Linked DNA regions of Elephas maximus indicus. The protein of the gene in region 2 interacts with the protein of the main gene of each other region in a pairwise test. Links are inferred from orthologs where the notes say so. Each region holds a gene or a part of one and is shown on either strand. Other genes may lie near its edges.

Region 1 (7,385 bases), on a different chromosome or scaffold from region 2:
GTTATCACCATCGAGGCAACTGAAATACGGGGAGGTTAAGTAACTTGCCCTAGATTATACAATGAAGTAGGGATTCTAGGTAGCACCATAATACAATATGAAAAGAATGGACTGTTTAATAAGTGATGTTGATAAAGATAGCTTACCATATTCATTTGCATCAGAGTCCCACACCAAAAAAAAAAAAATAAAAATGCTTGATATGGATCAAAGACCTAAATATGAAAGGCCGAGAGAATGGAGCAGTACGTTTTTATGGCTTTTGAGGAAAGAGGCACTTCTTAAATAAGACTTTGAAACTACAAATCATAAGGTTTGGGCTAAAGAATTTAACTTTACCCAAGAATTTGGTCTTTCTCTTTGGTTTTGCAGAGATAATCTCTAAAACCTTGTAATTTTCCCAGTAATCATGTCTTTGATAAGGGCTCCAGACCACACCTAACCTACGTTATGCTAATAAGGTGACTCCTGGATGATTCAACCAATCATGCCTTCCTAACGAAGTTCCTATAAATGTTCTAGACACAAGAGCTCCATGGGCTTCCCAGTTGGTAAAAGACATCAATGTACATGGGAGGGTAGTGCATCCCTTTCAGGGACATGGAAGCTTTGCAGTCAGAACTCTCTCAGGCCTTACCCAATGGGTCTCCTCATTTCTATCCTTTTTGATATAATAAAACTGACTGTAATTGTAAATATAGTGCTTTCTGTGAGTTCTGTGTCGTTCTAGTCAATTATCAAATCCAAGGGAGAAGTAGGATATAATAGGTTGAAAGTGAGGAGGGCCTCATGACGCCCAAGCTTGCAGCTGGTATCCTGAGGGGGAAATGGGGGAAAAAACTGAATTTGTAGCAAGCAGGTCAAAAGTGAGGGTGTTGCGGAACTCCCAGGCTTGCAGCTGGCATCTGAGGTCTTTGGCAGACTTGGCAGTGTGCTGGACTGTGCCCTTTGTCTTGCAATATCTGACCTTGTGAGGGTCAGAGGAAGAAGTGCTACACACGGAGCTGGTGTCAGAACAGAAGTGCAACAGAGGAGAATTGAATTGGAATTAATAAACAGATTGAATTGACTCTCTATAGCGTGGTGTCAGAGAAGGATTTGAATTTCCTAGCATAAGATAAAAATTAAAGGATTTGACTACATTAAAGATTATTTGCAACAAAAGAAATCACAAAGTTAACAGCCAGAAATCCAATTTGCAGAACATATTTGCCGTGCCAACAAGGATTTAATAATCTAGACCAGGGGTCAGCAAGTTTCTTCTGCAAATGGCCTGATACTTAAAATTTTGGGCAACTACTCAACTCTCCACTACTCATCTGTCAGTTTGTTGTACTGCGGTAGCTTTTGTGTTGCAGTGATGATATTGTCACCAGCATTTCAAATACCAGCAGAGTCACCCATGGTGGACAGAACTCATCAGAGCTTCCAGACTTAAGAAAGACTAGGAAGAAGGACCTGGCGATCTGCTTCTAAAATAATTGGCCAGTGAAAACCTTATGAAAAGTAGCAGAATATTGACTGATATAGCGCTCGAAGATGAGCCCCTCAGGCTGGAAGGCACACAAAATACTTCCGGGGAAGAGCTTCCTCTCAAAGTAGAATTGACCTTAATTATGAGGATGAAGTAAACCTTTTGGGACCTTCATTTGCTTATGTGGCACAACTCAAAATGAGAAGAAACAGCTGCAAATGTCCATTAATAATCTGAACGTGGAATGTACAAATTATGAATCTAGTAAAATTGGAAGTTATCAAAAATGAAATGGAACACAAAGAGTGATATCCTAGGCAGTAGTGAGTTGAAACGGACTGGTTTTGGCCATTTTGAATCAGACAATCATAGGTCTACTATGCGAAGAATGACAAATGGTGTCGCATTCAATAAACAATATTCTGTCGCAATCAATAATGTTTTCATTGGCTAATTTTCCGAAATAGATCTTCAGGACTTTCTTCCCACTAAGCTCCACTGAAACCAGTCTACCACAAGTAACCCTGCTAGTATTTGAAATACTGGTGGCATAACATCCAGCATCATAGCAATATGCACACCACCACAGTACAACAAAGTGACAGACAGGTGAGATATATTAAGTGTATTTTAAACTTATAGTACATCTCATTTCAAACTAGCCAGCGTAACCTTAGAAGAAACTCAATGGAAAGTCAGACTCCCAGCATCACTATCCATCAGGTGGCGTGAGCAGAAAGGCTGGAGCCATTCCTGAAGGCTTTTTTTTTTTTTTTTCCTGAATTTCCCAATCACCAAGTTCTATTAATTTTATCTCTTGCTAAAAGTCACTTCTTTCCATCACCACCTCCTGCGGCCATCTTTCTAGTCCAAACTACCATCATCTTTCAGTTGATACTTTGCAATCACCACCTAATTGGACAGCCTGAGTTAACACCAATGAGTAACATCATGATAAACAGAGAAAAGACTCAAGTTGTCAAGGATTTCATTCTACCTGGATCCACAATCAACAGCCAAGGAAGCAGCAGTCAAGCAATCAAACGACGCATTGCACTGGGTAAATCTGCTGCAAAGAACCTCTTTAAGGTGTTGAAAAGCAAAGATGTCACCTTGAAGACTAAGGTGTGCCTGACCCAAGCCATGGTATTTTCAACTGCATCATATGCATGTGAGAGCTGAACAACAAATAAGGAAGACAGAAGAACTGACGCCTTTGAACTGTGGTGTTCATGAAGAATACTGAATATACCATGGACTGCCAAAAAAGCGAACAAATCTGTTTTGGAAGAAGTACAACCAGAACGCTTCTTAGAAGCAAGGGTGGCGAGACTGCATCTTACATACTTCGGACATGTTGTCAGGAGGGATCAGTCCCTGGAGAAGGACATCACGCTTGGCAAAGTACAGGGTCACTGGAAAAGAGGAAGACCGCAATGAGGCGGATTGACACAGTGTCTGCAACAATGAGTTCAAGGGTAACAACGATTGTAAGGATGGCGCAGGACCAGGAAGTGTTTTGTTCTGTTGTGCATAGGGTCACTATGAGTCTGAATGACTCCACCATACCTAACAACTTAACACCCTAACTCAGAATGTATCAATTCTTCTTTAGCCTTCCTCATTGGCCAGCTTTCACATGCATATGAGGCACACCTAAGTCCTCAAACTGACATCTTTGCTTTTTAACACTTTAAAGAAGTCTTTTGCAGCAGATTTGCTCAACGCAATATATTTGATTTCTTCACTGCTGCTTCCATGGATGTTGATTGTGGATCCAAGTAAGATGAAATCTTGACAATTTCAATATTTTCTCCGTTTATCATGATGCTGCTTATCATTGCAGTTATGAGGATTTTTGCTTTATGTCCAGGTGTAATTCATACTGAAGGCTATAGTCTTTGATGTTCATCAGTAAGAGCTTCAAGTCCGCCTTCAGCAAGCAAGGTTGTGCCATACATGCAGGTTAAAAGTAAAGTATGTATGTCCCCTCTCTTTTGGCACAGGAATGAGTCACACTCCCAAATACTGAATTTCCTGAAAAACAGGTTAAAAAGTTAATACCACGGTGGGGGGAATGCTTATCAACATGCCAAAGGTCAACATACCATTTTATGTAAGTATACCTTTCTTTCAAACTGCAGTTCCTTGAGGCAAAAGGAGATGGGGTGGGGAATGACCATAAATTGCTGCATCACTATCTTAAGCATTTTTCCTAGGGTTTGTTGGCCACAGAAAAAAATTAAAACTCAAATAACACTCTTGGCGAGGTATACGCCTCGCGTATTCGCATCTCAGCCACATCCAATACAACATCGAATTAGGTGTGAATTCTCTAGTCAGTCCTGTGTTAATAACTATCTAAAGAGTAACTACTCAGAGCCATCCCTGTTAATTACTATTACTTTAGAATTGGAATAAACTTCCATCGCTTTCCTAATTTCTTTAAAAGGTCTTGGGGCAGCTCATACAAACTTCTCACTGAGTGGAAAGCAACTCCTCCTTCCAAGAAAACCACAACAAAAAAGGCAGTTTCGGGGAAAGGGAAGAGTAAGGAAAGCGAAAAACAAATCCCCAAGGAGAAAAGGGCTGTGGAAGCTGGAAAAAAAGGGAAAACTTTCACACTAAGACTTCCGAAATTCCTATGTCAGGGTAAGACTTTCAAGGGTTCATTTTTCACTGTAGGAAACAGTGAGGAAATTCAGCTCGGAAAGTTCACTCACTAAGAGAGAAAGTACGGCTGTTCAGCTTCACCAAACCTCACCACAAAGATGGCGGTGGGGCGAAGCCCCTTTTCTCGCCGCCAAGGACTCTCGCCTCACATTTCCCACAAACCCCTCCGTGCGGCCCGGCTCTCCGAAACCCGCCCGGCCGGTCTACCGCCACTGCGCACGCGCGAGGCTACGTCACGTGCGCTCCTGGGTCTCCGCGGAGCTGGCAGGAGTGGCCCTGCCAGCTTCCGCCGCCGCGTCGCTTCAGAGTTCGGACAGCGCGTTCGTGTTGCCTCCGTCACCGGGGGGCAGCCAGGCTGCACTGGGCCGATTGGGGAATCGCACAGCGACTAGACCGTGGGACTGCGTGGGGGCCAGTGACAGCGGGGAGCCGAGCGTCCCGGGCCCTGAGCGCGTCTCCTCCCGGGGGCCTCGCCCTCCTGCTCGCGGGGTCGGGGCTCCTGCTGCCGTTGCTGGCGCTGCTGCTGGCGGCGGCGGCGGCGGCCAGGATCATGTCGGGCCGCCGCTGCGCCGGCGGGGGCACGGCCTGCGCGGGCGCGGTGGTAGATGCAGTGGAGCCGGCCGCCCGCGAGCTGTTCGAGGCGTGCCGCAACGGGGACGTGGAGCGAGTCAAGAGGCTGGTGACGCCGGAGAAGGTGAACAGCCGCGACACGGCAGGCAGGAAGTCCACCCCGCTCCACTTCGCCGCAGGTAACCGGGGCAGCGCCGCCTCGCCTTGCTCCGGACGCCACCTGCGCCTCCTCCCCAAGCTCCGGGGCCCTCAGGCCCGGAGACCAAACACAGTGCTCCTCTGTCCCCAGCCTTTCCCCCCAGGACGCCGGTCTTGGAGATCTCGCTCTTATTGAGTGGGGATTGAGGGGATTGGTGGCTGGGGGGAGCGTGCCGCGCTCGCTGCAAGTTTTTTGTTGTTGTTGCTTTGGCTTTGTTTTGTTTTACAGTATCAACAATACATGTACCAACTTCCGGTCTTGCTATTCTAATAGGCCTGTACACACAAGCAAGAGTAGGAATGTAGTAAGCCTTGTGATTTGAAAAACTATTTCCAGAATCTACTGTTTTCTTGCAAGTTCCGCAGCCGAGTTGCAAGCTCTCTTACCATTCCTTGGGTTAAGGTTTTAATGTTGTTGGTTGCCATAGAGTGGATTTCGTCTTATGGTGACCCCATGTGTGCAGAATAGGACTGCTCCGTAGGGCTTTCAAGGCTGTGACCTTTCCGAAGCAGATTGCCAGGCCTGTCTTCCTGGAGACCCTGGGGGGTTCAAACCGCCAACCTTTTGGCTGGTAGTGGAGCACTTAACCTTTTGTGCTACCCGGGGACCAAGGTCTTAAAGGCCTCTGTAAAATTCAAGGAAGTTATTTAGTAGGACTGGCTTTCTTGGCAGTTGACATATAAGCGTTAATTGGTCACCACTCATTAGCAAGCCTCTGGAGAGAATATTAGTGAAAATAGGTAAGTTTAGGAGAACTGAGATCTGACTTAGACCAGTTGGCCTTGTTAAGTCTCTGCCATACACAAAAGTTGAGCTGGAAAGTAGGATGAGAGTAGAGATTGTGTGGGTAGGCTAGCTGGAATCTAGAATTTAGGTTGAGATTAACTTTGCTCCGTCCTGAGGTTCAGATTGTTTGAATTTCTTTTAACATTTATTAAGTTCACTTTACATAAACGTGTGTTAAATTTAATTGAAAATTTTAAAAGAACTAGACTTACTTACATAAAGGAGTTAAGGTTTTCACTTTGAGAAAGATTGTGACTGTCTCTAATTATCAAGTGAGCCATGCATGATTGAAAGCGAGAGTAGGTTCTCATACCTTTGATTATCCTGGTTTCTTATTTCGTGTATTACATGATAATTTTAAATAATTTTTTTAAAAAGTAGAGGGATACATTTTAAAGCATTCCCGATCTTTTGGGGCAGGGGTGATGAGCAAAGTTTTCCTTATTCATAGAGAGTGCTTTTACACATTCTACCGATCGGAGGCAGTCCCTGGGTGGCACAAATGGGTAAGCATTGGACTACTAGCGTAGGAACTACAAACTCAGAGGCGCGCTGGAAGACAGGCCTGGCGAACTGCTCCTGAAAGAGCACAGCCTTCAAAATCCTTTGAAGCAGTTCTATTCTGCACACATAGGGTTGCCATGAGTCTGAATCGACTGGAAGGCAACTAGCAACAACCAGTTGGAGATTTGTTTGCTTTAATCTGCAACCGTTGTAAAATATAAATAGTACCAGGAGGCATAAGGAGCCCTGGTGGTACAGTGGTTAAGGTGATTGACTGCTAACCGGAAGGTTGGTGGTTCAAAACCACCAGTGGCTCCTTGGGAGAAAGAAGTGGCAATCTGTGTCCATAGAGATTTGTAGCCTTGGAAACCCTATGGGGGTCACTGTGAGTGGGAATCGGCTCAAGGGCAGTGGGTACCAGGAGGTATGCTTCCTGATCAGTTTTACCTTTGTTGAGTTCCCACTGTGAAGAATCTTTGAGAGAAGGCGGCTTGGGGGACCACTGGTGGTGGACAGTGGAAGGGGAAGGAAGAAAGGGACTAAAGCCAGATCTCACTTATTTAGCCATTTTGCCTGAAATTTTGATGGTCATTGCTGCCTTCGTTCAGCTAATTTGGATTGCCCTGTTTGAACATGTAGTCAACATTTGAAAAACTGATTTGGCACAGTGTCATAACCAACTGATACCAAAGGGTAGTGTTACTTAGATTCTGTTCACTTGATCTGTGGATAAAAATAACCAAGGAAGATCTTAGTTGCTACCTTTCAAGAATTTGGTATATTAATGAGTTCATATCTGAGAATAGTAATATTTCAAGGTTTAAGGTTGAGGGATTGTTTTATCGACCTTGTTCCCTACCTCCAGCCCACCCCCAGTTCTGTCCCAACATTTCAAGGCACCTTTTACATAGATTTCTTGCTGTTTTTTCAAATTAAAACAGAAAAATTAATATTTTAAGAACCGATCCACCCTACAACTTACCCACATTATCAGGTACAGGTCTTAAGGTTAAGAATTTAAAGTATAAAAAAGGGAGTAATAAAAATTATTCAGAGATCTATATTTCAACTGGAAGCTTTAAAAGTCTACTTTTAAACCTAGGTGTCTAACAGACTTTAAAAAAAAAAAAAAGCTCTGTGAGATCATTCCAAGTGATTAATAAAAGAGAACCTATTTCC
Region 2 (8,008 bases):
TGATGACCTACTCCCCAAAAATCTGCCACTGAAAACCCTATGCAGCACGATTCTACTCTGACACACATGGGGTCCCCTTCTGTCGCAATGGACTTGACAGCATGTGGAGAAAAAAAAAAAAAAAAGGGCAAAGAAGTGCTATAAACCCTAGGGTGAAACATAACAGGCAAAGTGCTTGTTCTCCTAACTTTACACTTTATTCAACTCAAATCGATGTATTAAATGTAAGTATATCCTGTTTATTGGGGAGTGCTCTATAAATTAATTTGGTCCCTAGGACCAAATGCTAATGCTGCCCTAAGAATCCTCATTTGAAACTTGAATCTGTGCATCAAATATCCGAGATGTGTCAAAGGACGCTCCACTTAGGTAAATACCAAGCACAAAGACTAAAGATACATGTTCAAGACCAAAATTACCGCAGGATTTAATTGTAACTAATTTGCAGCCAAAACCACCTCACTTATAGCATCTAAACCTAAGAAAAGCAGCTCTCTGCAATTCTACTGTATCCCATTAAGTCCTTGCCTTGGCCAAACTTCAGCAATCAAGCAAAAAACCCATCAAGGCAGCCACTTGCCTTCTCATACTACATTGTGACAAGCTATTCTGTAGGTGAACTATGACAGAGCTATGAAAGTTTTGTGTAGTGTTGCTTTTTGAAAAAAAGGTTATTTCTTCTACATCCCTCTGGAAGAAAAAAAAATATCTTGAAAACATAGGAATCATTCCAACCACAATATGGCTATTTATTTTAATACAATATTACACACACACTCTCTCTATATACACACACACATATATGTATTTTTTTTTAAGAAGGACAGAAAACAGGTTAAAATTCTGACTGTGCAAGACACACTGGACACATCTCCTTTTACTGATATTCCATACAGTTTCTAAAAGAAAAGGAAGAGTTTCACTTTTGTTTCTTCTGAAGTCTGAAGTCCACTTCCCAGTTACCAGCTTGGTGGATTTAAATCTGTCAAGTTATTTGAGGTAGATGGTTTAACATATTTGCAGTCATATAAATAGTTTTACTCTAGGATAACAAAGCAGTAGCATGTAAACACGGAAAGCAAACAACAAAACAAAATTATATTACACTGCTCAAGAAAAAAAATTCCCCAATATCAATGAAAAGATTTAAAACACACACACACACACACACACACACACACACACCCCAGACACAAAATGGTAATATTCCGGAATAACAACTACTTCCTTTGTATAAGGAGGGGGTTCACTAAACTAAGAAATTTGACTTGACTGCCAAGACCACTGTCAGTGATCTGATTCTTGATTCTACAAATTTATTCTGCGTTTTCTGATTCTGTGTACTTCCAGCAAAGTCAAGGGAGAAAAGAACAAATTCCTTGCCATTGTTCAAACTTAAGAGGTATGAAAAATATGAACTACTCTTTCCACTTTAAAATAACAGGATTTAATATTCAACACTGAAGACAACTATAGACAAAACGATACCAAGCCTGTTAAAGATTGCTTCGCACTCACAGGGCCTCAGGATCCTGTCCTAAGTACTAACATTCATGACATACACGGTGTCAAAAACTAAAGTTTAAGGTCTTCAAAACAGAAGAGAGAAGGTTTAGGAGGTTACTGTTTTAAACTCCTACTATTAAATCTTGAATTATTTCACTGTAAATAAATTGCAGTCTGCAATAAATCTTCTAAATTTCCCAGTAACAGCTAACATACAAAAGTTCCAAAAACAACTTACCCAAAGTTCCTAAAATAACAATGCACTATCCTTGCTTTCTGAAATTCTTTAGCATCTTCAATTACCTCAAGCACTATCATAAAATCCTAAAAATAATCTCAAAGCAAAAGCTTAATTTACACAAAGGCTGTGTTAGGGACGGAGGCCTTATGCTCAAGTTAAACAATCACAGGTAGGCGTTAACTACTACTCTAAAACTACAACAGGGTGGGGCACTCATTACTCACCCCGACAAACCAAACACAGCTTTGCTGATGGCTCACAGTAAACCTCAATGACCCCAAAATTCCAACACGACTAAAGCAACGTTTCCCTTTGGCCCAAAGTGCTTTTCACACAAACGACGGGAAAAAAAAAAACGTAAGTCACGGTCAACTGCTCTTCAGAATATGGTGCAAGCCATGATGGTGCATTTAAGATTCTGAAAGCAAAATCTACAGTATTTAGAGAGCCTCTCACTCTCCACTATGACAGATTTGAAGGTTCCCAAACAGGAAAAAAAAAATTTTTTTTTTCAGCGAGCGACCATGAGAATGTGTGATTGATGCAGGAGTTAACGGGTGAAGAGTAGAACAAGGTCAAACTTAGGGGACAAAAGATTCCTGGAATAAACATGGTCAAAAGGTTTCCTTACTTCAGGGATAATTTCTACAACCAGAAAAGGAAAAAGAAAAAGGAACCCACCAAATCCCCTACTTCTACATAGAGTCCACCTGGCAATGTACCTGTCCCTCAAGGCAGGCAACTGGATTTTGGTGGAGACTCGTTGCAAAATAGCAGGCCTGGAACGCTCCTACCTTCGAAATACAAACTGAGTTCAGGAGAAATGACAACTGGCTATTCTTAAAAAGAAAGACAAAACTTTAATTAGGAAGGCGTAAAGAAGAGGAGTGTAGGAATGTGAGGGCTCTCCACACCCTGCACCGTCAGTGCTAGGAAAATAACCGGCAGAAAGACGGGGACGGAAAGACGCTAAGGACACCCTGCTCCCCACAGGCGACCCCGCGCTGGGCGCGACGCCCCCAGGGCAAAGCGTCGGAGCGGTGGGTGGCAGGGGAGGCAGCCGGGGCCGCGGAGGCGAGGCCGGCACGTCGGAAGCGGCTCGCGGGCTCGCCTTACCTTCTGCGCCGCGCTCTGCTGCTGCAGCACATTCTGCTCCACGGTCATGGCCCCCGCGGCGGCGGCGGCGACACAGGCGGCAGCGTCCGGTTCCCGGGGACTCCGCCGGCCCAGGCGGCCGCGCTCCGCCGAGCTCCAGGGAGCGGCGCGGACGGCCGGGGAAGACAGCGCCCCCGCCAGCCAGGCGCGAAGGCGATGGCGGCCGGCGTGCGCGGGCACCGCGGGCAGGCGGCGAGGCGCGGGCTGCGAGGGCCACGGCGGCGGCCCCACCTCTCGGCTCGGCCCGCCTCAGCGCGGCTCGGCCGCGGCGGCCCGGGCCATGAGCGGGCGGCGGACGCTGGGGCGCAAGAGGGCGCGAGCTAGCCGGGACGCGTCACGCGCTCGCGCGCTCCTGCTCTGGCTGATAAGGGGTCACTGCTAGGAAGGGAGCGAGGGACGGAGGGAGCGGCCGGCCGGAATGGCGCTGTTCTCCTCCCTCCGCGACTCCTCCTCCCCTCCCCTCCCCCAACCGCCGTCACCGCCCCCGCCCGGCGGCTCCTCCCCTGCCGAGCCCCGCCCGCCGGCCGCCCTAACCCTACATTGTGACCCGTAGGGCGGAGGGGAGGGGCGGGGCCAGCACGGAGGCCCGCCCCCAATCCTCGCCCCGCCCCACCGCGCCCCGCCCCGCGTGAGCCTTGCGCTCCCCGAGCTGGGCGAGGGCGCGCCCAGGGGGCGGGGCTGCTGGGGTGCCGCCCCTGCGGCAGGTTGCGCGGCTCCAGCCCTTGGCTCCGAGAATCTCGGAGCCGAAGCCCGACGGCCGCGTTCCTCCCTGTGCCCACGACTTGTCAGATCGCCCGCTTTCCCATGCCTCCAAAACAAATATTTCCCTCCAGGCCCTGGTACGTCCCAAAACCGCGTTGGGTCCCTAGCCCCAGCTTCTTTCCATGTAACCTGTCCCGCCCCTCTCCTTTCTAGGAATTTGAGAAGCAACAAACTTGCTCAAAGGGAAAAGCCAAGTGTGATTTAAGCAAAGGACTGTCAGAGGTCCTTGCGTTGAAATGTACTTGACTAATCATTACATAAATGAATATTGACCTTTTCCATCTACTTCATTCATTCAAATACATCAGTCTCTACTAGGTTCTAGAAAAATAGGATTTATTCCCCGGAGATTTAGGGTTTCAAGGCTATAAATCTTTAGGGAAGCAGACTGCCACATCTTTCTCCCGCAGAGCTCCTGGTGGGTCTGAGCCGACCTTTTGGTTACCGCTGTAGCATCAGGGCTTCTGTTAATGGAAATGACATATGGCCTACACTGCAAACAACATTATAAAGGAGGATCACTATCTAGACGATACATAATTCTAATATTCCAGTTAATAATATTAAGCAAACAATGAACTACCATAAGTGAAATACTTGACTATATATGGAATTGAAAGGAAAATATAACGTTGAGAAAGCAATCTTTAGCTGGAAAAACATCTTGAGTTTCATGGGCTACACTGGGGACTGGCAGGGTGAGGGGTGAGCTCATATTGTCTCAAATACGGTACACACCTCTGCAAATCCAGGTAGAACTTTTAATCCTATGACAAAAGCAAGTTTAGTAAATGATAACTGAAATAGTATCTGGTTTTATTTAATAAGCATGGATCATAGTAACTCTAAAATAAAGCTTTGTACAATCCTGTACGCTTTACGACCCTCTTTGGTCTGCCCTTTACATACCTTCAACCACCTTTTGTGATCATTCCCTTGAATCTTCATATTTATTTGCTCATTTGATTTTGAGAAATTGCAAATTTCATTTTATTGATGGCCTACCTATTTGTAAGAACTTTTTGAAAAGTCATGAATGGTTGGAAACTCAGAATATTAGGAATAACGCAACAGTTCTCATCAAGTGCAAAAATCTTTTTGGGAGAACACTGAGGCCCCAAAAGGGTGACGTGTCAAGCATAGCATGCAAGAGCCCATTTTTCCTCACTTACAGCCCAAAGATCTTTCCAACATGCTAATCTCATGTATCTCTGCATTAGAGATGTGTATTTTTTTAAATCTGTCAGGTTCATAACATTTAAACTTAAGAAAGTTAAATTTAGCATAAAAATTTAGGACCATGGTTAAAAAAGTGACAGACATTAAAGTTTAGCTTCAAGAATTTGGCAATACAGTGTTCCTCTGAGTTAAAATTTTTAGCTCTACAAATATACATATACATTTTTTTAAACTAGGGCCTCATACTGCTAGTACAGGTAAAAAAGATAAATCTCTTCATGAAAAATATTTTTTAAAAAGTTGCTGTCAGATCAATTCCAACTCATGTGTCAGTATAGAACTGATTTCCGTAGGGTTATTAATAGCTAATTTTTCAGAATAGATCACAAGGCCTTTCTTCTAGGTGCCTACAGATGGACTTGAACCTGTAACATTTTGGTTAGCAGCCACCTAAAACCCACTCCCGTAGAGTCGGTTCTGACTCATAGTGACCTCACAGGGTTTCCAAGGCTGTAAATCTTTACGGAAGCAGACTGCCACATCTTTCTCCCACAGAGCCACTAGTGGTTTCAAACCACTGACCTTACAGTTAGGAGTCAGACACTTTAACCCCTGCACCCCCAGGTCTCCTTAGCTCCCGCCTGGCACTCCAGAACTCTTCATAGGGTAGACAGATTTACCTACTTGGATCTTTGATTTCCAGTTCATTTCTGATAATTTCCTATAATTTACTTACTTTTTCTTGCTGTAATTTTCTAGAACTTTGAGGAGAAACTTTCAAGTTTCCTTACTTGTATTTCTTTTTAGAAAGCTTACAATTGGAATGAATTAAATATTGTTGTTGTTGTCTTATGCCATTGAGTCAATTCCGATTCATGGCAACCCAAGTGTTACAGAGCAAAATTTCTCCATAGGGCTTTCTTGGCTATAATCTTTTACAGAAGCATATTGCCAGGCCTTTTCTTCCACGGTACTGCTGGGTGGGTTCTAATCACCAACCTTTTGGTTAACACACAAGTGCAAAAGTACAAGATGGAAATTTGAGAATTTAAGATAAGTTTGCACATAAAACCCATTGAGAGGACTTCCTAATTCTTTTTCAAAATCTGTCCCTATGCCAGTTTTCTTGCTCAGGACTCAGATTTAATACATATGGTTGCAGGAGTTATATACCCTGAGGATACTATTTCATAACTCTTTTTGGTATACTGTTGCATTACTCTGGAACGTGGACATTCAGATAAAAACATGAAGTGATAGATTTCATATAAAATGAATTTCTTTGTTTTTTAATCATAGGTCTAAAAGTAAACAGATTTATTTTGCATCAAAATGCTGTTTCTAACAATTTTCAGTGTTGTGTTTTGTATGTGAACTAAAGAAATTAGTACTCCTCCATCTTGAGTATTCCTTTCTTTCTGTTGACAAAGGGTTTGAGAATCCATTCCCGGAGACCAAAAGTCTTCTGTTACCAAAACACATTTGTAAGCCGTTAGTAAAAGAGCAGCATTCAATTCATAGGGTAGATGTGAACAATTTTCATGACAAAAGAATAGTTGTTAAATGTACTTGGATAAAAATCAGAACTATCTTCCTCCTTTAGGTATACAGACAGTCCCCAGTTAAAAACATCTGACTTACAGAAAGCTTGTACTAAAGAATATACTACCATAAAGCCAATTATATTAAAAATGTAAGTTAAATACAATGGTTTGTAATAACAAACGCAGGCACTATTTTGTGATGCTCGTGAAAGCATTGTAAGGTTTGGAAGTGTTTCTTAAGTGTTTCATATGCATAGAAAGGTGAGATATATGCTATATACTAAGACAAACGTTTGACTAACTGATGCTAAATAAAAACCGTATGTACCTCTTCCAACTCACCTGCAAATTCAGCTTACAGGCAGACTTAGGAAGGCATCTCATTCATAATGCCGGACTGATATCTTAGAAATAATTTTATTTTCCCCAATAAGGAAACAAAAAGCAATAATTCGAAGAAAAGGTTTCTATGATGTCTCAATGGTACTATTCAGTGATAGAGTGTTTATAGATTACAATCTGCATTAGGATCGTCTGCTTAATACATGTGCAATGAAATGCTTATTGAATTAACTGGGCAGCCATGAAGAAGAGAAAACAAAATTATTTATGCTGTTTACAGCACACACCCAACTCTACTTTCTCATTCCAAGTGGACAGCTTTGTGGTTCTGAACATGACAAAGTATGGCATTATTAGGATTTCCAACTCTCAATGGTGTCTCATACCCTGAGAGCCACCAGATATTGCTTCTTTGGTCATAGCCAATCTATTTTGCTTCATTGTGCATTTCAAACATTTGTCATGTCGAATCTTCCTTTTCCTGCCCTATACCCATGAGCACACAGATTATTAGTAAGAGATGTCTTAAAGAATAGTATCACAACATTCTCTATCAATACTGACACTTACAATTAAAATTGTTATGGAGGAAAGCATTCTGTGAATTGAACAAGGAACCTAGTCTATTCTGAACTCTTGCTCTGCAAGGTCTACTTAGAAAGCAAGGTTTATATAGAGAAATAGCCACACTTTATCAACTGAGAGCCAGCGCAAGTAGAAGTTTCTCGCCTGTTACCTCTTGCTTCCCTCACCTTGAACATGCCCAAATTCCTACTCTTATGGCGAAGATGGCTAAGAGGCCCCAGACACTTGCCCCCTCATTTCTTTCCTTTCTTCCATTTATACTGTACTCAAGAGTCAAACGCCTCCCCTTTTACAGTGATAGTCGCAGATTTCCCTGAAATCATCCTAATAACATCTGAGCAGAGGGAACAACATATTAAAAAATGACTAATGTCACTTCCCAAGGTTTGTCTCTCCTGTATTCAGAGGACATGATCACTACATATATACAAATTCCCAATAACCACAGGGCCTACTAACCCTGTGGCCTTGGGCAAGTCACTTAACCCTTTTGTATAAAAACCAAACCCAATAGTCCTTGCCTATATGCATTCTTTGCACTTCTACTGCTCTGCTCTGAATCACAGGAAGTACTACCCCTGCATATTCCCCTCTTTAGGTCAGCTGGCTTCAGAATGAATTTGGCCAGCAAGAGGCAGAGGTGAGGTATTGAAGTGTGGTGGAAAGGGAGAAGCTAGGTTATTTCTCCTTCTCC

The links.
Region 1: the proteins of USP25 (region 2) and TNKS2 interact in a two-hybrid assay, tested with the Homo sapiens proteins (2 studies listed by BioGRID and IntAct). The link is inferred for Elephas maximus indicus from reciprocal best matches to the Homo sapiens genes USP25 and TNKS2.

The regions. Positions count from the first base shown.
Region 1 is NC_064834.1:43,095,342-43,102,726, forward strand, and holds the start of TNKS2 (poly [ADP-ribose] polymerase tankyrase-2), read left to right. Parts: upstream 1-4,372; 5' UTR 4,373-4,697; coding exon 4,698-4,896; intron 4,897-7,385. UniProt on the Homo sapiens protein: Poly-ADP-ribosyltransferase involved in various processes such as Wnt signaling pathway, telomere length and vesicle trafficking.
Region 2 is NC_064836.1:45,945,412-45,953,419, forward strand, and holds the start of USP25 (ubiquitin carboxyl-terminal hydrolase 25), read right to left. Parts: upstream 3,014-8,008; 5' UTR 2,912-3,013; coding exon 2,864-2,911; intron 1-2,863. UniProt on the Homo sapiens protein: Deubiquitinating enzyme that hydrolyzes ubiquitin moieties conjugated to substrates and thus, functions in various biological processes including inflammation and immune response.